Linked DNA regions of Schizosaccharomyces pombe. Changing the gene in region 1 together with any one later gene gives a genetic interaction. Each region holds a gene or a part of one and is shown in the gene's direction. Other genes may lie near its edges.

Region 1 (9,545 bases):
TCATGACATCTTCGGAATCGATTTCTTGCACGATTTATTGTGTTGTCGAACTTGTTCCGTGTACAGAATGTTAATGATACTGTATCTCTCGATACGACATAACATTTGTTTCTTTTTTTTAGAATGTGTTACTAATGATTTTTTTTAGTTCGGTGGTCATGGTGCCCGTGCTCGTCAACAAAAGTCTTACCGTTAAAATGTGTTTGGCTGTTTGGCTTTTTTCCATTATGTATCTATACAATTGATTTATCATAAATATTGTTTGATACTGTGTACGAGCCAACCGTTGGTGTTTTCGTAAACCCTTATTCATAATTCTTCGGTATTGACATATATGAAACAAAAGTTCAGTGTACGAGAAAGCGACTGTAGAAATGTATTTAGAGATTTTAATAGTACTTATAGTTTCTATAGTGCTGTCGTGTAATTGCTTAGTCGATTAGGTGTAGTGGAAATTCCTTGTTCGGTATTGTAGGAATATCAAAATGGTAGATTGAACGAACGAGTTAGGTGAGTAGGGCCGCCGCCATATGATGGATTGTGTTTTTTGAGTGTTCAAAATTAAACAATTAAAGATTATTTAATTCAAGGTTGCTTCTTCTTTTTTAGTGTTTTGAAAATCTCTCACTATGCACTGTGCGACTGCACTTACGCAGGTCACTTCTTACTTTTTTAAATATCACATGTCGAAACGGCTTGCTGAAAAAAAAATAGGAGTTTTGATCATTTTACTTTTCTGCTAATATTCAGTTAGAAATCCCACAGTGGTTATCGAGCAATGTCATTTTAATTGAGAACAAACAAGCACCGAAAAATAAATCCTTATTTGAAGTAGATAGTTTTGCAAATCTAACGATAAATTTACTTGATAAAATTTGAGTGATTAGACACCATTATGGCAGGCTCCAAGTGGGAGACAGAAGAAACGAATCAATTCGCAATTGAAAATCAAAAATTAGAAGAGGAATGGCGTAAAAAGCGACGGTTAGAAAAAAAAAGAAAAAGAAAAATATTAGAGGAAGAAGAGAAAGCTGAAGAAAGAAACATTGATGCTTGCAGGCTCTACTTGATGGGGAATACACCTGAACTTAAGTCTTGCAATTCTATTGATGATTATGAAATATTGGAAAAAATTGAGGAGGGATCTTACGGAATCGTTTATCGAGGTCTTGACAAAAGTACGAATACCCTGGTTGCACTCAAAAAGATTAAGTTTGACCCTAATGGAATTGGATTCCCTATTACTAGTCTGCGAGAAATTGAATCACTATCCAGCATTCGACATGATAATATTGTAGAATTGGAAAAAGTGGTTGTTGGTAAAGATTTGAAGGATGTTTACCTAGTTATGGAGTTCATGGAACATGATCTCAAAACATTACTTGATAACATGCCCGAAGATTTCTTACAATCTGAAGTCAAAACACTGATGCTTCAACTTTTGGCTGCCACGGCATTTATGCATCACCATTGGTATCTACATAGAGATTTAAAGCCTTCTAACTTGCTAATGAATAACACCGGCGAAATCAAACTCGCCGACTTTGGATTGGCAAGGCCAGTATCAGAACCCAAATCCTCTTTGACACGCTTAGTTGTGACTCTTTGGTATCGTGCTCCTGAACTTTTGCTTGGTGCACCAAGCTATGGTAAAGAAATTGACATGTGGAGCATTGGATGTATCTTCGCTGAAATGATTACTAGGACTCCTTTGTTTTCTGGGAAAAGTGAGTTAGATCAATTATACAAGGTATGCGATTTTTGATTTTTTATTCTTACCTTAAAAAATTCCTAACAATAATATTAAGATATTCAATTTGCTCGGTTATCCGACTAGGGAAGAGTGGCCCCAATATTTTCTTCTTCCTTATGCAAACAAAATTAAACACCCTACGGTCCCTACCCACTCTAAGATTCGTACTTCTATCCCTAATTTAACGGGAAACGCGTACGATTTATTAAATCGACTTTTAAGTCTAAATCCTGCGAAGAGAATATCTGCCAAAGAAGCACTAGAACATCCTTATTTTTACGAATCTCCCAGACCCAAGGATCCTAAATTTTTTCCTACTTTTCCTAGTAAGGCCAAAGGTGAATCAAAAGAAAAAAACGTGTTTCAAAGTTTTCGTAGTGCATCTCCAAAGAAGTGATTTTGATGAAGTGAATATTGGCATTATAATACGTGGAAATGTAATTGGCCTTAATTTACACTACTTATATTACTAATATTTAGATATTTCTTTATTTTTTCCGTTTAGTCCCCAAATTGCAATTGTAATTGTAAACATTTTATGATATCATTGATTTTCGATTTATGGCCATTTATTTGAGTAAAATTTCTCCCTTTCTACAAAACGTTTCACTCATAGTGTTCAGTAGTCCTATTTTTAACTGAGGTAAGTGTATTCGAGCATCGATGTTTTCAAGCAAGCTGGTAATGAACTTTCATGAATTGATAGTAATCTGTTGCAAAGTATTGTCAAAAAATTTTTCTTATATCACTGCTGATGGTTTTACTATATCTATGGGACCCCTGTTTCTATTACATGACTACACTCACTCTTCCTTACCATTTCCAATTTTTTTAGTATTTAATAACCTTGACAGTTCCTACCACAAAATTATTGCCTTCCTTATTTTATATTTAATGGGGATAATTTTTTGTGATTATGGCAAGACTTTTAACTAAATCAAGTCAAGTATTTGATTTTTTGGCAGATAGATTATCAGTACGAAAATCCAGACGATTTTGGGAAACACAGGAAAATTTAGAGTCTTCCACACCTTTATTACAAGAACCACAACAAAGTTATCGTAGTAATAGTTTTAATGAATTACCTCCGTTGTCTAGAAGTGTAACGTTTGCTGAGAATGAACAACCAAATGAAGCGGTGAAATTGGGAACGTTTGAAGGTTGTTTCATTCCAACTACTTTAAACGTACTCTCCATCCTTCTTTATTTGAGATTTCCTTGGATTATTGGAGAAGCTGGTGTTCTTAAAACATTGCTGATGTTATTTATTAGTTATGCGGTAGGTATATTTACAAGTCTATCGATCTCTGCAATTTGCACGAACGGTATGGTACGTGGCGGAGGTGCATATTATGCGGTTTCTAGATCTATTGGCCCCGAATTAGGAGGCTCAATTGGTTTGATATTCTATGTTGGGCAGATACTGAATACTGGTATGAATATTTCTGGTTTTGTTGAGCCCATTATAAGCATTTTTGGAAAAGAATCAGGCACTATTTCACAATTTTTACCCGAAGGATATTGGTGGGTCTTTTTGTATACAACTTGTGTCCTCGCAATGTGTTGTATTTTATGTTGTTTAGGTTCTGCCATTTTTGCTAAGGCCTCAAACGCCCTTTTTGTGGTTATAATACTCTCAACAATATCGATACCAATCTCTTCGATATTTGTTCATCCTTTCAAAGATCCTTCCTTACTCGTTCATTTTACGGGATTAAAATGGTCTACGCTGATGAAAAATTTAGCATCTGCTTACACAGAAAATGAGAAAGGAACAGGTTATGAATCTTTTAAATCTACATTTGGCGTATTTTTTCCTGCAACGGCAGGTCTACTGGCTGGCGCAAGCATGTCTGGTGATCTTAAAGCACCTTCTCGTTCTATCCCTAAAGGTACTATATCTTCTCAAGCAACGACCTTTTTGCTTTATTTGCTAGTAATTTTATGTGTTGGTGCCTCTGTAACTCGTACGGGACTTTTACTTGATATGGACGTTATGGAACATATTAGTTTACATCCTTTATTCATCATTTCTGGAATTCTTTCTAGTGGCGCCTTTAGCTCGTTTATGGGTATATTTGGAGCTGCAAAGCTATTACAGGCAATCGCGCGAGATGATTTAATACCCGGAATGTTTTTCTTTGCAAAGGGTTCTAGCTACGATGATATTCCTTATGTTGCAATTGGAGTGACTTACTTAATTACGCAAATCAGTTTATTTTGGGACATCAATATGCTTTCTTCGATGATTACAATGACTTTTCTTCTGACTTTTGGCTTTATCAACTTATCGTGTTTTCTGTTACGAATTAGTAGTACCCCAAATTTTCGACCTACCTTTCGGTATTTCAATAGACGCACTACACTGGTGGGTACCATCTTGTCATTTGGCGTAATGTTTTACGTTGATCGCTTGAATGCCTTTATCTCATTTTTAATTGCAGGAATTTTGGTGGTAGTCATATATTTCACATGTCCTCCTAAAAATTGGGGTGATGTGTCTCAAGGCATCATTTATCATCAACTTCGAAAATACTTGCTGCAAACTAATAAAGCAAGAGAAAATATAAAGTTTTGGAGGCCTCAAATTTTACTTTTGATTAACAACCCGAATCGGTCAGAAAATGTTATCCGTTTCTGCAATTCATTAAAGAAAGGCATGTATACCGACATTTTTTGACAATACTAACCCATAAATTATAGGTTCCCTCTATATCTTAGGGCACGTTATTGTATCCGATGATTTTCAGGCTAGCATGGATGATTTAAGAAAGCAGCAACGTCTTTGGCATCAGTTTGTCCTTGATCGAGGTATCAAAGCATTTGTTGAACTAACTATTGCTCCAGACGAAGTTTGGGGTATCCGTGGTCTTATATCTTCTGCAGGCTTGGGGGGAATTCGTCCAAACATAGCTGTGCTAACATTTATTAATACGAATTATCGTAGACATCGTATATACTCGGGTTCTTCTTTCTCTCTTGAGAATACTAGTGAAGAATCAGAATCTGACAGTAAAAAAGAATTTGTGGAGCATGATATACTACCTGTGAAGTGGGTACAGATATTGGAAGACATGCTTGTTGGTTCGGTGGACGTTATGGTAACTAATGGGTTCGATAGACTTAATTGGCCAAAAAGAAAGGGAGAAAAGCAATATATAGATATGTTTCCCATTCATAGAATATCAGGTGTGGGGTCAGAAGTCAATGAAAGTACACCAACGTTTGCGACGAATTTCGAGACGTATACTATGGTTTTTCAACTTAGTTGGATCCTTCATACAGCTTCAGATTGGAAACAAGGTTGTAGGCTACGGCTTATCACTCTTGTTGAATTCGAGAATGAAATAGAGGCAGAACGAGAAAGCATGCATCAAATGCTAGAAACGTTCCGTATCAAAGCCGACGTTGTAGTGCTCTGTCTTGCTGCAATGAATTTGGATGCATATAGGTACATTGTCAAAAATGAGCATGTGAGACCTAGCAAGTCTTCCGAGCTTGAAAACTTACTGAAAGATGACTCGTGGTGGCAGGAAGAAAAGAAAAGAAGAGGAAATACTGTAGATTCCTTAGGACCTATTCGTTTTCCACGTCGTATGTCTGGTTATAACTTTAGATCTGCCAGCTTTGATAAGAGTGCTCCACCTTTAAGTGTGCCATTGAGTTTCCGCCTTGGGCCACATATGCATTCAGTAAAGTCGTTTGAGACTGAATCTTCTTTCGGAAACCGTTCTTTATCACCAAAACAAGAAAATAGAAGAACTTATTCTGACAGTACTATTGAGTCATCTCTGATGCCCAACGTGGTCCGAGAAGATAGTTCATCTGATAGACTAGCACCAAAGAAAAAAATAGGAAGGGACTATTCTAAAGAGAAGTTGACGTTTAACGATTTATCCTCGAGATCTCAATACATAATTATGAATGAAATCGTGCTGAAACATACTAAAAATACTTCTGTATTGTTTACTGTTTTACCAGCACCTTTGGCCGACACTCATAAGAGCTTTCGAAAAAGCGAGGAATATGTTGATGACTTATTAATATTTATGGAAGGATTACCTCCTTGTGCATTAATCCACTCTAAGAGTTTAACTATAACTACCGCTCTTTAACGATTTATGGTATTTATGTCTTTGGTTTATAAAGTCTTTTCTTTTGGCATTGTTATAACTATTTAAATATTTGGTCCATGATTTCTATTTTAGATGCTAATATTTTTTTTTTATTCTGGACCAAACTTTAAACAAAAAAAAAACGAGGCAATAAAGTGATGAGTTAATCTTGCATATATTTCATAGGAGCTCGAAAACTTCAAAATGGTAAAATAATAAAGATACGAGTATTTGGTGTCGATTTGTATTAAATTTATCTTGTCTTGAGTATCTAGCCAATACTCTCGCATTGAAGTACAATGATAAGCTAAGGAAGCTGTCCAGTGCAATACACTGGATACACTGGGAAGAATTCGTAACCGTCTTTAGTAAAAAGGACTTTATCATTAAGTAAAAAAGATTGAGCTAATATGAATATGTGTTAGCTTATACTTCATATAATGCCCTTTAAGAAAGCCTAAAAATGGATGAGGGGTGTTTTTGAAGGAAGAAAGTGAGAGAAGTAATGATATTATGCTTCATCTAGCTTCGTCTACGGTTGTTTTTTCACGGAAACCTCGCGAGAGTTTAATTTCCTCTGAATCAATCTGCACACTAGGGGGCCAATCTGCATATTCACTATCGGATTTATCACTCAGTTGCAAACGAACGGAATTTTCGGGAAATTTTTCTTTATTTAAAATATCTGCCAAGTCCGCAATCGTGTTAGGAACCTCTTGTCGCATTATTTTTCTTCTACGAACGGGTATAGGCAATTTCAAAAGGTCACTAGTCAGTGGTTGAACAGAACGATATTTTCGATAGTTTAACAGTTGCATAAAAACAGATTGAAACATTGATTCATTAGGAAATTCGACTTTTAGTAAAGGAACCCAATGGTCTTTACGGAGCTTAGCGGGTCGCATACCATTTGGAGCGACTGGCTTTTGAAGTGGGTAGGGAAGTTGAAACAACGCAGTCTTTTTTAAAACATTTCCTTGAGATAAAAGTACCTGATTCGTTTGAATATGCCTAAATATATAGAGATACTTGTTCTTTTCAAGCATTCTTTCCTTTTACGAGTACAGATTGGCTGTTTACATATATGCTTGTAAGAGATGCGAAGTTTGTTAATAGCGCGTCCGCGTATAAACGTTGTGCCCAATAAACACATATCGTTTGCTAGCACAGATGTTAGGCAGCATTGCGCGTTGAGCAGCCAAAAACAGTAAATGTTTTAATGATACGGTGAGTGACGGAAAATTTGAATACTGGTCAGCTACGCAGTTTAATATCTATTTAAAGTGTCGCTCACGTATTTCGGTATCTGCTTAACGATACTTAAAGTGCAATGAATCTCTCTGTGACCTAATATATTATGTTACACAGTTAATATAAGCAGCAATTTCAATGGGTGTTCTCTGAAATAAATTATATTGTTACCTATGGACATAGCAAAAAATATTACTTTTCGCTTGGGCTGAATGTTGGTAGATTTTGAATACGAAAGATTTCATATAATACAAATTGAATAATTTTTTAATTCTTTTTGTAAAGAAATTGCTACTGACCAGGAATTGGGAAATCGCATTATTTAAAATAGGTTTTCGCTCTACACCAAATTGATTTTTCATTTTTATTTGTTTTAGAAACAAGTTTGAACTTATATTTCCTGTATATACTGTATTTTAAAGCTCCGAACACTTGAAAATGATATATGGAATCCTCATTTTATGCATTAAACAGAAACTAAGGTTAAATCACTACTTTGCGTCTTTTGAGTAATGCCTTACTTGTTCAATTTTTTAATTCGCAAATCTTACAAAGTCATAATTAAGGATTGTATATCAATTTGGTAAAACAATAAAGAGGATGATTAATTTATAATTGACAACCAGATTCATTAGTTAAATGACTTTTCCTAGCACCACAGAAACACATCGTGTTTACTCTATAACAGAGACAAAAATGTATGTATGGAAAAAGAGTGATGACTGTCATCGGAAATGATTAAGTGACAATGCGTATAAGGTAATAATACAAGAAATAGAAATAAAGGGGAAAAAAGGAGCTTCTGCAGGAAAGTAAGAAAATTAGTAATGAAATAAAAAAGACACTCGCAGCTGGTTGGCAGCCCCTTGATTTTTTTTTCTAGCCATGACTTTTAGCTGCTGCCCGATTCTACATCTTTAGAAGTGTTGCAATCGGTTCCCTCAGCCATTGTGTTGTCACTTGCTGGCTCTGTGGTAATTGCTTGGCCTCGCATAGACGACATTTCAACGTCGCCAGTCTCTTCATCTTGTTCTATTACTTCGAGCCCGAGAATAAACAACAGTAAGGATAAAATAATATGAGCCAAACCTTGAATTGCTTTAGCTACATATTTAACTAGGCCTGCAATCGTTTTAGCTACATGTTTAGCTAGACCTTCATTCGCTTTAGCTACAGATGGTGCATAAACATAAGCTTCTTCAAACGCTAATTTAATTAACGAAAATGAAACTAGAAAATCGTTAGCCATGAATTCAAATCATCTCAAAAACTTACAATAAACAATAATCACTGTCATCACGTATGTAAATATTAACACTATAGTTTCAATAACATATTTAACCACAGAATTAAGATCCGCCAATGCCTGATCGAAATAATTATAAAAATTATGATAAAGCAATAAAGTAAGAATGAAAGGAAGGAAGATATGAAATATCGCATATCTAGCTTGTGTAAGTCGCACATTTTCCGAACGCTTTCTTAATCTAGCAGGTGCAGCCATTGTATTTTTTTTTCGTAACGATGGTTGTGTTAATGTTGAGTTTTGTTTGACAATTGGATTGTTTACATGATTATTGACTGAATATGAAGGACAAGAATGTAAACAACCCTTCTCCAAATCATTCCAAACTTCATTGTATTGAGGTAACTTTTCGTCTGGCATTTTGAAGAGCCTTTTACCAATAGTGATTATATACGTTTGAGTTCCAACTTGAACATTGCAAAATAAAATGCGAAATTAAAATATAAAATAGATAAATAGATCAAAACCAAACACTTGAATAGCCTAAAAATCCACGCGTTCTAAGCATCCAACAAAAAGAGATGGCTCTTGTTAAGGAATGAAATTGAATCATTGTGCTGTCAATATCAATTTACGCACAAGTTAGCATTAATTAGGCACTGCGTACCAATACGCTATAATAGCGATGCCTTGCTTCGTTTTATCATACTTTGAAAAGTATGCAACACTAGTTATTAGACAGTGGGCTACACTAAAGACCGCTATAATGTTTTTGCATCGCGAGTTACTATTATGTTACATGTTTTATTTACTCTACTAGTTTTGCATGAATAGTTTATCCAAGATATTAAATTACCAATTATAATAAGATATTTACCAGTAACAATAATACTGATTTTGAATACTATAACTTGAAAATTGAATTGAGGAGCGAGGTTCAGCCATGAGCTATATCAGCGTTAGGTTACAAACAATACCGACATCAATAACTCAGGTTACTATGTATTCATACATCTAGTAATACAACAGATCATCATTAGAGCTCACCGCAATCCTACTTATAATTGAAGCAGATATCAAACTGTACATTTAAACAATTGTATAATTCATTAAATCATACCTTATTGGCAATTTACAACGAGACTGTAGAACTCCACAACAGGTTTGGAGCGAGTTAGTT
Region 2 (5,998 bases), 570 kb from region 1:
CATGGCAATATTACCACTCATGTCTAGCTCGCCTCTGACATTTGGAGAAGTAATGTTGTTTCCAGAAGTATTGTTAGCAGGAGACATAGATGCTGTGGCAGAATTGATAGGAGCTGGAGACTCAGACGAGTTGGAGATAGAGCTAGGTCTTGAATCATTGCTATCCGCATATCCTTCAGACGTGTGAGTCACTTCAGAAGAAACGGTTGCAGGCACGGTGGCATCATTGGCATTTGTGGCATTAACATCGTCTCCTGTACTTCCTCCATTAGCAGCTGCCTCTGCAGCTTCCTGCGCTCTCAATTTTGATACTTTGTCAGCAGTCAAGAATCGGCCACCAGGACCACGAGGTCGTCGCATAGCATGCTTATGCCTTGATTCATGTAAATATGGTTTTTTCGTAGTCTGCACACCACGCAATCTCTCTTCTAACTTTGCGCGAGCTTCTCTACGTTTCAAAATTCGATGGTATTGCTTTGCATTCACGTAAAGCCCCTCGACCGGCTCATATGGATTCATTGGAAAATGACTATTCTTATTTCAATTGCTCTAACTATTGGGAGGATCTCAGGAATCAAAATTCTGCTCGTTACGGTATATTCGTCTCGTTGGTCGGTTGGTTGGTTTAGGTGGTTTGTAACTCCGCAGGCGCTAGCGACTACCAATGGTAAGCAGCTATTCTTTACATATCGGTAAATGTGTATAACGATTATTGTCGATCTTTCCAGGATTGCAAATAGTGAGGACGGCTTGCAGTGCATTTTGTCACAAACGAATATATAATCTTATGTACACATATGATAATGTCACTAACTGAATGGCATAACTATTTTCTTATGAATTGGGTTAAAAAAAAGCTAACAGTCGAAATATAATACAACAGAGGTTGCATTGTAGCGTATGGCACTGGAACACGTTATACCAAATATCTTTTTTAAACAGTTTTCAATGTTGTATGCGATGTAGTTGAAGAGGGAGACTTTTACCTCGTACAATATTTTTTTATTTGATATTATTAATAATTTACTTAGAAGTAAGCATCATCAATTCTTATGTACCTTTTAAAGTGATGTGTTTCAACGCTTTTATTTTGTAAACTTGCTGCTTTTTTCTAATTCTAGGTCATTATTCTTCTTTCAATTTATAAAATATCTTTTGGGTACGCTTTTTTGTGCAATCCTCTCCTTTCTAACGTTTGTTTACATATTGAGTATTAGGTAACGATGTTACTTACATATTAGTTGAAGATTTATTGTTTATACAACAACTCTTATTCCCACCACCTTTTCAGCGCACCCAGAAGTACCGTCTTTTGATCAGCTGTTAGCAAACATCTGTTTTGTTTTTTGATAATTTATAATGCTTAATGATGAACAAGCGTAAAAGAGTGGAAGAGCTTGGAGAGACGAAACATCGTCAAGTACGACAGCGAATTCTCCAAGAACACAAGAACGATATACTTGAAAATTTAGCATTTGAACGTAAGTTTTTGTACCTGGAAGTAGTAAAGTGTTAACGGGTATTTTTCAGTTTCCGATAAAGTACGACGTTTGCGCTCAAACGCTAGTTTACTTGCTTCAACAATTCGTATGCGAGGAGAAATGCGTATCGCCGCTATTCCTCGCGCTCAACGAAATATGCATCTGCGCGATCTAAAGAACCATCTTTCCTGCAATGTGTCTGCCACACCGTGGAGAACGTAAGTGTAATATCAAATTTTACTTTGCCATACGTACTACTGGAAACACTAATTGCTAATTACTATTTCAGAAAAATAAAAGAATTTTATAATCTAGACGAGCTTTCCTCCCAAAAGTCCGCTAGACAACCTACAAAAACGGTGGCATCCTCCTCTTCTTCTTCATCAAAAAGCACCACCGTTTCCAAATCGAGTTCAAAGTCGCAAGTGTGAAACCCTCATCTACTGCTTACTGTGATAAAATTTCACTACTACAAAGTTGGTATTCATAAACACTTCGTAGGATTCATTATCATTATTTTTAAAGTACATCATCCACACGATACCGAAATATTCTCATGTGAAGTCCATTTATTTCCCACTTTACTTTTGATGAGTAACTCATTCTTCTTGGGAAACTTGAACAATTTTGCGCATTCTGTCCATCACCTCTCGAAATATAGGACGTATTTCGTTAATTTCCATTGCACCCAAATTATCCAAAGTTAGTTGAACTTCATTAATGGCTTCCAATCCCGTTCTTGCTTTACTTTGTCTAGCTTCTCGAATGTCCAGCAAAATCCTCCTGATATCCTCAACATCCTCGATATCATCAGCACAGAAGTTTAACAATAAATGCGCCGTTTCTAGCCACCGAAAAGGCAACTCTGAGAATGTCTCGTTTTCCAATTCATCATCTCGTATGTTTTCAAGTTTGCCTATTTCCATCCATTCCGGAGGTACAATCCTTGCCAAATTTTGCTTTTTTAGCTCAAGAGCCAACCATAAAGGAACCCGACATTTTTTGGGAGGCTTCATAATGGGAATCGTCGCGCTAACTAGCGGCAATTGATCCATTGTTTCTGAAGGAACAATGTTAATATACTCATTGCCAGCTAAAAATTCCATTTCCTCTGGTGAGAATGAAATTTCAAGTTCCCTTGGTAAGGCCATCTCTATCACCAACGAACAGTACAAAAATGCCTATCAATAGTACCGTTTTTGGGCTTAATGTCTTTTTTTATTTAAAGTTTTGTTTTTCTATTTTGGAGTTCGTTTATAGCATTTATTGGTTGTTATTCCTTACAGCATAATTTTTTGTGTGGTGGGTTTCGGACTCATAATAGTCACCCTCATCTAAATCACATCTTGCTCTTAGGTCATCGGTATATGATTGTCAAATTTTTATATTTCTCGTTTTAAGGTAATAATTTTGAATGCAAAAACCTTCATTGTCACAAGACCTTATTTGGATATTGAAATCAGTCCAATCTCGTAGGTCTACGAAAGGGTTTTTGCAAAAACATTCTTCGCTTAAGGATGGCTCTCCCAACAAGAAATCCTTCGCTCAGCCAATATCGAGTTCGTTTTTAAACAGAATTTCTATTACCAAAATTGATGATGTGGATTCTTTAAGTGATAATACCCTATATGGAATTGGTCGAAGTATAAATAGCCTGGCACGTTTAGGGATTCAATCAGTGATTGTTCCCACTTCCAATCCAATTGGCATGACATCTCCTTTTAAATATTTGGAGAATGGTACGGTCGTAGCGAAAAAACGTAAACTTTCAATCTTTGAGGAGCTACAGCAACAGCAAAATAGAGTCATTCGAGTTTCGGAAATTTTTTCGAAAGCGGGAGTGTTAACCCGTCCTAGCTACTCCTCTGTATGTCAATTGGGCCCTGAAGGCCCTAGTGTTGAGAATGTGCAAGGTATTTTTCAAGCGCTGTCTTCACTTTACACGGTCATAGTGCCAAGCTCGATTTTAATGCCCAACGTCATTGAGGTTCCAATTGATGGTAATGAGGTTCTTGCTGGTTTAACTTACTCGTTACACAAGCCAAACTTTGGGTTTTGGGTAGACCGAATCGTCATTCTTGATAAAAATGGTGGCATGCCATGTTCTAAACGACAAACTGGTTCTAGTCATGTTCTCATCAATCTGGCTCAAGAGTTTGACGAGTTAGCGAAAACACTTCCACCTTATCATAGAAAAAATTTGATTTTGGTAAGACGCTGTTTGAAAATGTTACCGGATGATGCCTCTGCTCTAATCACTACGCCTGAGGATGCTATGCTTACAAATCCTGTCTTAGACAAAAATCCGTTAATTCACAATGTTTTGACGGATCGCTCTATTATTTCATGTTCCTTGCCGCGCGATCGATCTCCTATTACGAAAACAACTGTTTTGCGTAGCGGTGTACCGGTATATACATTCCTAGGTCCGAAATGTCTAACTGATGGCTCCGTTTCGTGGGAAAGGCTTTGGGTTTTAATTAATGACTCCTTTAAGCGAACGCTTGATATGGACGCATATTTAGATAGGTTGAAGAATTCGCTAGCTGCAGTCATTATTGCAGGGGACTATTTAGGGACAGCCATTGTAACTTATGAACAACCAGATGGAACAACGAATGAAAAGGTCCCTTATCTTGATAAGCTTGCCGTCTCACAAGGAGCCCAGGGTTCAGCAGCAATATCTGATGTTATGTTTAATGTTATGACTGATTTATTTCCCAAAGAGTTGATATGGCGCTCTCGCCTGACTAATCCAGTCAATAAATGGTACTTTGAAAGAAGTGTAGGCTCCTTAAAGTCAAGCAAAACACCTTGGAAACTTTTCTGGACTGGAGACTCACATGTCAGAAATTTGGATCGAGTGAACCAGTATATGAGCGTTATTGATAAAATTCAGCCAACATGGTTGAATTGAGTGGAAGTTAACGATTGCACTTTATCAGAGACAAGATTATTTCGCTTCTTCAAAAGCACTTGTCAAACTTTTTAATAAAAGGAAAAAAGTCCATTTTGATAGGACATTAATTCTCTTTTGCACATTAGATTATAGATTGAGTAGTTTGCCTACAAACTTGCATTTTTCTTTAGTTATGATTTTTGTTTATTCCCCCACATAACCCCCATGTAGAGCTTAGAAAAGGTGATACTAGCTTTTTTCTTTTGTGAGTATCAACGTTTATCAACAAAACTAGTAGTAAACATGTCTTATAAACTTGAGTTGTTGCGTCGTGCCTTAGAACATAATGTTTTGAAGTTTGGAACTTTCACCTTAAAATCAGGCAGAAAATCTCCATACTTCTTCAATTCTGGTAATTTCACTCATGGTGCCGATTTATGCGCTCTTGCAGAAGCCTATGCCGAGACTATTATCGCTATGAACGTTGATTTTGATGTCATATTTGGTCCTGCTTATAAGGGTATCTCTTTGGCTGCTATAACGGCCGTCAAACTTTATGAAAAAACTGGAAAGAGCTATGGATTTGCCTATAACCGCAAAGAGGCCAAGTCCCATGGTGAAGGAGGTAACCTTGTAGGCGCCGAAATGGAAGGTAAAAAGGTTTTACTTTTGGATGATGTTATTACCGCTGGAACTGCCATTCGTGAAGCAATTTCCTTCTTAGAACCTAAGCACGTAAAATTGGCTGGTATCGTCCTTTTGCTTGACCGCCAAGAGCGACTGGACCCCGAAGTAAACGAAAGTACCATTGGTAGATTGAAGAAGGAGCTTAACTTACCCGTTTCCTCCATCCTTACTTTGGACGACATTGTTGACTTTACCAAATCAGACTTAACTGCAGCTGAATCAAAGGCAATGGATGCTTACAGACAGCAGTACCAAGCCAAATGAGCTTATGGTAATGTTTCTTTTAAAAATTTGGAAGGAGGAAAGAGAATAATTGGATAAGTATCTTTTTTGGTTTTTAGCTTTGCTTTTTTAAAGAGAGTGAAGTTAGTTGGTATTTACATATGTTATAGAATTTTTTTATCTGTATATTTGTGGTGATAGATACAACTCATATTAGAAGGAATTTTCTATAAAGCGATTGCATTTAGCGGTATTCAAAAATTTCTCTATAATAGACGAAGGAAATTGGTTTACTTGTTAAGCTTTTGTTTTGCACATATCCATCTATCTTTTGATTAGTTCCGTGAATCTGTTTTTTTTGTGTTTGTTTCTTCTTTTGTGTTATTCGAATCTTTCCAAGATGACAGTTAGGAATGAAGCTACCAAAATATTGAGTTGAGGGATAATTAATGTTTCACAAAATGGTATTTGTGTATTATTTTTGTAAAAATTTGTAGGATTTGGTTTTTAGTGATGATTATTTACGTTCGAAAGACGCATATAATGGGCAATTATAAAAAATTTAGGATTTTATTTTTCAATTCTGCGACGGGTATTTATGCTCTGTGTTTGAAATACCAAATATTAAATAATGGTAAAACCTTTAAACAGAAGCCTGGTGATTAACTTTTTATTATGACAAGAAAATGTTAAGAAATTTTGGAATGTT
Region 3 (6,528 bases), on another chromosome or scaffold:
GCGCTTTTGACAATTCCACCGTTGTCGAACTTTCAGATAAAACCTGGGATCATGTCATTGAATCTGGCAAATGGTTTGTGCAGTTGACTGCTGAAGGCTGTGCTAACTGTACTCTTGGAGAGCTACTTTTTAACGTAAGTAATGGACTGCATTTAATGTTGTCCAAATGCTCTTGTTATGAGATTGAATTTTGAGCCTCGGAAATAAATTAAACCATCTTTGGATTTAATTGAATCTGTACTAACTAATTTTAGGACCTTTCGCATGCTTTTCATGAAAAATATCCGGATGTCCACTTTGCCCGTGTTTACTTGAGCAGTAGCCTCGAACTTTCTGTACGCTTACTCATTTCTCGGATTCCTTCTTATTATTTCATCGATAATCAAAATTTCTACCGTGTTTCTCCTCAGGTTCTTCCCAAGAACAAGGCAATCGCCTTATATGAAAAAGACGGGTTCAAAAGTATGAAAAAAGAGCAAGGTTTTTTCTCTGTTAACGGGCCCTTGAAGTCCTTTTACTGGGTCTTTGGAAAGGCACTTGCACTTTACGGACACTTAAGTCAAAAATACACCCCTCTTGGAATGAATGTAGCTATTTTTGGGATCTCTGCCTACATAATGTATCGCTCTAGCAAAAAAGCGAAACAAAAACAAGCCGCTGCTGCTGCCGCCGCCGCTGCAAAAAAGAAATAAGCTATGTGGAAAATACTATTAGTTTTTGATAATATCAATTTTTTGAATAATTATACGAGAGTTTGTTACATGTTCTATATGTAAGGCACCGCTCTAGTAAAGGTTTATACCCTATTTGTTTCATTCCTTCCTTTTTTAACAGAACGTAGATTTTCCAACCTTATTGCTTGTTTGGAGATTCATTAGAGGAATCATCTTTTAGCTTAGAATAAACGGCAAAGTACTGCCCGTCTCTTTTCTTAGCATTCTGAAATACATTCCACGGCTCTTGATCGGGTAATGATGGTAGAGATTCCGCATTAATAGCATGATTCAAAGTACGAAATGGTTCCTTAATGAAGGATGTATCAAGTCTCTCAATTGCATGCATTTGAATGATTCCTTCGTTGAGTTTTAGAATTGTTCTTTCATTCTCTTCCTTAGAGTCTGCTTCACGAAGACCAACGAGCCTCAGCAAATGACCATACTCAGTTAAGCCAATTGGTTTGGGTGGATTTCCTTGGAGAATTCGTTTAAGTGAAACCTTTGAAGGTTTCAAAAATGGCATAGTGAAAAGGAAAATAGAGCTAATTACAAGAGAAAAATATAGTACAGGTTAAAAAAAAGATTCAATCTTAAACACTTTGTAAGTTTTTCAAATGCTTTGAAACAGCTGTCGAAGTTGTAGTCGGTTCCTACAATTTAACGACTAGGTTGTAAGTCTGGGTTTTTTTAGAATTAATAGTAAAGGAATATATTAAATCATTCGGTAAGTAAAGTCAATATAATCAGCTTCTCTAATTAGGAGAACTATTTTTCATTACTATGATAACCGTTTCCCATTCCCTAAATTTACGACATCCTGCGATGTCTGTATATAACTTTACATAGCAGTGTTCCAGTACGTAATATTGTTGAATGCTTGCGTAGAGTAACGACTTTATTAAAATTGGTTATTGCAATTGAATAAGGTAATATAAAATGCCACATTATTAGCACTTTAGGTGTCTACATGTTTCGCTATTTTTTAATGATGTATGAGAGTATTGTTTATACCCAAAATTGTAAGCGCATTTTCCATCCTTCTGCCTATTACAAGAATCGCGTAAATCATGAGAAAAATTTGGGAATTAAAAAAGAAAGAAGCTCAAAAAGAGAAAAATGCGTCAGGGATTAGTCCAGCACAAATCCGAATCCAAAAAGGTGCGACTCATCATGTTGATAACTTTTCGCGATTTACTCGAAACTAACCATTTTCGATGAATTTAGACGTTACAGATTTAGAAATCCCATCTACGATGTCTACAAGCTGGCCAGATCCTATAAAATTGAACGTGCTACATTTAGAAATCCGGCCTGACGAAGGTAAGTTTGTGATTCCGCATGAAAGAATATTTGGTGTAGACTTTTTGAGACTATTATTTTTTATTTTGATTAACATGAAAAGGGTATTACAAGGGTGGGAAATTTAAATTTCGAATCCAAATCGACGATAATTATCCTCATGATCCTCCTAAGGTTAAATGTCTAAACAAAGTATGTCAGTCATGCTCTAAATTAGAGTTGCAGCTTATGGTATATTTTTTGCATTTAAGAAAATAACCATTATAACATGTTTTGAACCCTTTCGTTCTGACCTACTGTTAGATCTATCACCCAAATATCGATATTGAGGGAAACGTATGCCTCAATATTCTGCGTCAGGATTGGAATCCAGTGTTGAATTTGAATTCTATTTTGGTTGGATTGCAATTTTTATTCTTGTCACCAAACGCAGAAGATCCACTCAACAAAGGTAGGTTAATTACAATTTTTTGGGGGGCAATGAACTATTTCTTGTTATTGCATTACAAGGAAATGATTATTCATCTCTTAACTATCATTTGATACTCATTTTTTCTACGATCCTTTATTATGGGATTTATAAGGTTCTTTACTGAGGACAATGATTATGATAAGCAATTTTAATATAAGAAATCTGGTTTGCTCCTTAACAAATTTTCTAGATTTATTTAACTATACTAACAAACGATATCTTTTAGAGGCGGCGGCTGATTTGCATAAAGACCCTCAAGGATTTGCATCTCGTGTGCGTACAGCCATGAAAGGTGGTCTTGTGAATGGAATTTCTTTTGACAATGTCATGGCTTAATTTTTCATCAATCTAAATCAATTCGATAAAGATAACCGACATAGATTAGACGACTGTCATGAAAATATTGATGTGTTTTAAATCTCGCTAAATCAGTCACGATTACGATGAACTTCCGATATCAGTATAAAAACACATAACCAGAACCAAACCCCCCTAATAAGCCCGTAACTGCTTTACAATGTTTCAAAGACGATCACTTCTCTCTGTTCGTTCGTCTGGTTCCCAAATCGCCTTTCGTCGATTTGTCAGCGTAAGTACAAGTTTGTTGATAGAGTATGCATTGTAAGTGCAACTGAACATACGATGGCAAATAATTAGACTATCATCTAATTCTGATTGTTTTCGAGAATTCTGTACTTTGCTCTTGTTTTTAGACAAGTATTGATGTTGAGAATGCTTCTTACTGACCCAACAAAATAAATCTTCATTTGTGCTTTCATACTGCCTCATACAGTACTAATTTTAATATTTCTTAAACTGCTTATTAACCAAGTTTAGCTTACCCACAAAGATCCAACTCCTGATACAACCAGTTGCAATATTATCAAGAAGGAAGGGGCGAATATTATATCAGTTTATGCACGCTATCCAGTCGTAGCTGCTAAAGGTGAGGGCTCCTATTTGTTTGACAAGGAAGGTCGTAAATACATTGACTTCACCTCTGGCGTAGCTGTTACATCTTTGGGTCATGCTCATCCTGAAGTTGCTAGACTTGCCGCTGATCAATGCTCCAAATTAGTCCATAGTAGCAACCTTTTCTACAACGAGCCTGCCATTGAGCTATCTAATGTCATTAATAATTCTTTGGCAAAAAATAGCGGTATTGCTGGCCCCACAAAAATTTTCTTTGCCAATTGTGGTACTGAGGCCAATGAGACAGCCTTGAAGTTCGCTCGTAAGGCAGCGTTTGAGAAGTATGGAGAAGGGAAGAGTCAAATTGTTTACTTTAATAACTCTTTCCACGGCCGTTCTTTGGGATCTCTTAGTATCACTGCGAACCCCAAATATAAACGTGGTTTCCAACCATTACTTCCTGATGTCGTCCAAGCCGTCTATAATGACCCTGCATCCATAGAGCAATTTGTCAATGACAAAACTGCGGCTGTTATTGTCGAGCCCGTTCAAGGTGAAGGTGGTATTTGTCCTGCCAAGCCTGAATTTTTGATTGCTTTGCGCAAGGCCTGTGATAAGGTTGGTGCTTCTTTAATCTATGATGAAATTCAATGCGGACTTGGTCGCAGCGGTGATCTTTGGGCCCATAGTATCGTTAAGGATGTCGCTAGTCCCGATATTATCACAGTTGCCAAACCTTTGGCTAATGGTCTACCTATCGGCGCCACCATTGTCTCCAGTAAGATCGCTGCTGAAATTCACCCTGGTGAACATGGCAGTACTTTCGGAGGTAATCCTGTTGCTTGCCGTGTAGGCACATTCTGTGTTAATGAATTAGGGTCATCCAAGATTCTACAAAACGTTAGAAAGCAACACAAGGCTCTTACTTCACGTTTTGATGACTTTGTTGCCAAATACCCTAATCTTATTCGTGGATATGCTGGTCGTGGTCTTCTTCTTGGTTTGCAATTTACCGAGCCCCCTGCTAAATTTATTGAGCTTGCTCGTCAACAAGGTCTTTTACTCTTACCAGGTGGAAACAACAACACCCGTGTCCTTCCTAGTTTGAATGTTAAAGATGAGGTTATTGCTAAGGGTTTGGATATCATGGAGAGCACTTTGAAGGCTTTAAGTAAGTAAAAGTGTATGTTTTCGTAGACTTGGTCATTGAATGGATTGGTTATATAGTGCGATAAAAAGTGATTATTACGAGAAATCTTGTTCCTCGAAAACATATATTAACCTTGCTCTCATTTGCCAACCAAAAAATTTTTTGATAGGGGGGTTACGAAAAGCTTAGCTGGAAGCTTTACATTGTAAATACTGGTTTTCGTTATTCCCTTTCTTTTCATAATCAATTTTGTTTACATTTTTTGTTAGAAAATTAGATATATATTGTTGTTTTTCATCTACTAAACTGAATTGTCGTAATATGTACCGTAAATACTCTGTCAAATGATAGTAATTCACAAAATCAATGTTTTTTTACTGCGTTTTCTATTACTAACTTTTAAAAAGTTATATAGCAAATAACATTCCATGTTTTCTTTTAGCATTAACTATTTTTTTCTTTGGCATACAATTATTATATCAACATGCTATTCATTCAATTCACATTAGAACGATATCGTTATAAGGAATTCTTAATCAATTTTTCGTTTCTATATTTTATCTTAATTTAAGGCGCACATCGATACTTTAGCAAAATACCACCATATTCAAAAATAAACAAAATTTTTTATCTTTCTAAAAAATATCATTTTTTTAAGTAAGTTTAATCATTTTATAATGATTGAACAATGAATATCATCTCATGCTTATTTTGAAGAATCGCATTTCGCGTAACTAAAAGCAAATTTCTTGGATACCCTCAGTACATTTCCAAAAATATTACTAAAGATGGTAGGGAGGGGATCTTTTTCATCTACCTCGAGCGCCTCATCCATTAATTGGATTCCAAAAAACACTAAAACTAGCATTGAAAGTGTTTCTAACACTATTTCGTTGTCGGAAAATGGGCAGAACCAAGACTTGGAGACTGTTACTACTAAGGAATCAAACGTTGGCGACTCTGACACGACTGAAAACATTAAAAGTCCGTTTAATGGACAATGGCCATTTAGCAGAAGATCTAGTCAAAGTAGCAGTCATCCGGTTTTTGAGGAAACACATTGGAGTAAGCATTCCAAGCGCCCAGGAAAGTTGAACGTTTTAACGCCTACTAGCCCTTCTAATGTTAATGCCGAAGTTCAAAGTATTTCTACGAAAACTCAATTATCGCTGCTTAACCTCTCTCCGCATAAGCATAAAAAGCCTAAAGATGGTTTAGATCTTTCTGCTTTGCAGAAAACGCTCAACGGGTCTCGAAATTTCTTAAGAGGAAGAAGAGACGCTGGGGGAATTTTTGGCGCTTCCATCCCACAATCACTTGTTACAAATCAAATAATCAATGGCTTCGGTGCAGCCTCTCTTGCATTTGCTAAATTGGGCAAAGTTCGCTCTCCTTTAGAAGGTCGCTTTAACCTGGTTCCCATATCCGCGGATGAAACTTGGCTTATTGTGGAATCCGAAGTTTGTAGTTTATATTCGGGTGAGGCTTTGCACTATTCTCTTGAAGATTTGAATGGAATTCTTATATTACATTTACAAGCTCTTATCCGTGATACGAAGATGAATGAGTTTGTTGGACACTTGGAGACACTATTCCGTAAGGCTACCAAGTGCCTTTCGGACAGTTTATCGCCTGTTCCAGAAGAATTATTTTTGAATCGTATCATAGAAACATGGCTGTTTTTCTTTTCTTCCGTATTGCCATACGTTCAAGGTGTGTTTTTACCTATAAAGACAAAATTGTTTGATGAACAAGAAAAAACACAATTACCCTATGAAGTAAATGAGTTTTGTTCCACAAATAGGGAAAAACTAAATGTCCATCGTCTTGCATTGATGACATTTCGCGATTATATGGTTTTGCCAATTGCAAATCGGATACAAATCTGTATTGGGCGTGCCGAATCTGCTGAAAATGCTTTAGATAATGCAGGAGAGGTGTTCGCTCGACTGTTTCAGATATTAAGTTTGTTGGCAAGT

Evidence for each region.
Region 2: mutations in vhc1 (region 1) and arg6 impair growth when combined (synthetic growth defect), as found in Schizosaccharomyces pombe (one study listed by BioGRID).
Region 3: mutations in vhc1 (region 1) and arg1 impair growth when combined (synthetic growth defect), as found in Schizosaccharomyces pombe (one study listed by BioGRID).

The regions. Positions count from the first base shown.
Region 1 is NC_003423.3:1,794,345-1,803,889, forward strand, and holds vhc1 (vacuolar membrane cation-chloride cotransporter Vhc1), read left to right. Parts: upstream 1-2,602; 5' UTR 2,603-2,669; coding exon 2,670-4,410; intron 4,411-4,456; coding exon 4,457-5,868; 3' UTR 5,869-6,386; coding exon of another isoform or gene 6,387-6,914; 3' UTR 6,915-7,608; downstream 7,609-9,545. Other genes in the region: rps1601 (40S ribosomal protein uS9), read left to right, coding at 149-196; Cdk11-cyclinL compex kinase subunit Cdk11, read left to right, coding at 896-1,750, 1,809-2,150; mhr1 (mitochondrial 54S ribosomal protein mL67 ), read right to left, coding at 6,387-6,914; SPOM_SPBC18H10.18C (uncharacterized protein), read right to left, coding at 8,012-8,349, 8,395-8,785.
Region 2 is NC_003423.3:1,226,396-1,232,393, forward strand, and holds arg6 (acetylglutamate synthase Arg6), read left to right. Parts: upstream 1-2,829; 5' UTR 2,830-2,895; coding exon 2,896-4,398; 3' UTR 4,399-4,520; downstream 4,521-5,998. Other genes in the region: CCAAT-binding factor complex subunit Php2, read right to left, coding at 1-519; nbl1 (borealin N terminal domain-containing protein), read left to right, coding at 1,367-1,481, 1,531-1,699, 1,771-1,912; GINS complex subunit Psf2, read right to left, coding at 2,081-2,632; orotate phosphoribosyltransferase Ura5, read left to right, coding at 4,684-5,331. UniProt on the Schizosaccharomyces pombe protein: N-acetylglutamate synthase involved in arginine biosynthesis.
Region 3 is NC_003421.2:1,611,374-1,617,901, reverse strand, and holds arg1 (acetylornithine aminotransferase), read left to right. Parts: upstream 1-2,965; 5' UTR 2,966-3,004; coding exon 3,005-3,076; exon of another isoform or gene 3,077-3,104; intron 3,105-3,324; coding exon 3,325-4,578; 3' UTR 4,579-4,855; downstream 4,856-6,528. Other genes in the region: SPOM_SPCC777.12C (ER stress response thioredoxin family membrane disulfide oxidoreductase), read left to right, coding at 1-134, 255-692; protein Gta3, read right to left, coding at 853-1,239; NEDD8-conjugating enzyme Ubc12, read left to right, coding at 1,784-1,874, 1,941-2,036, 2,119-2,207, 2,319-2,466, 2,714-2,823; Protor homolog, Bit61, read left to right, coding at 5,338-6,528.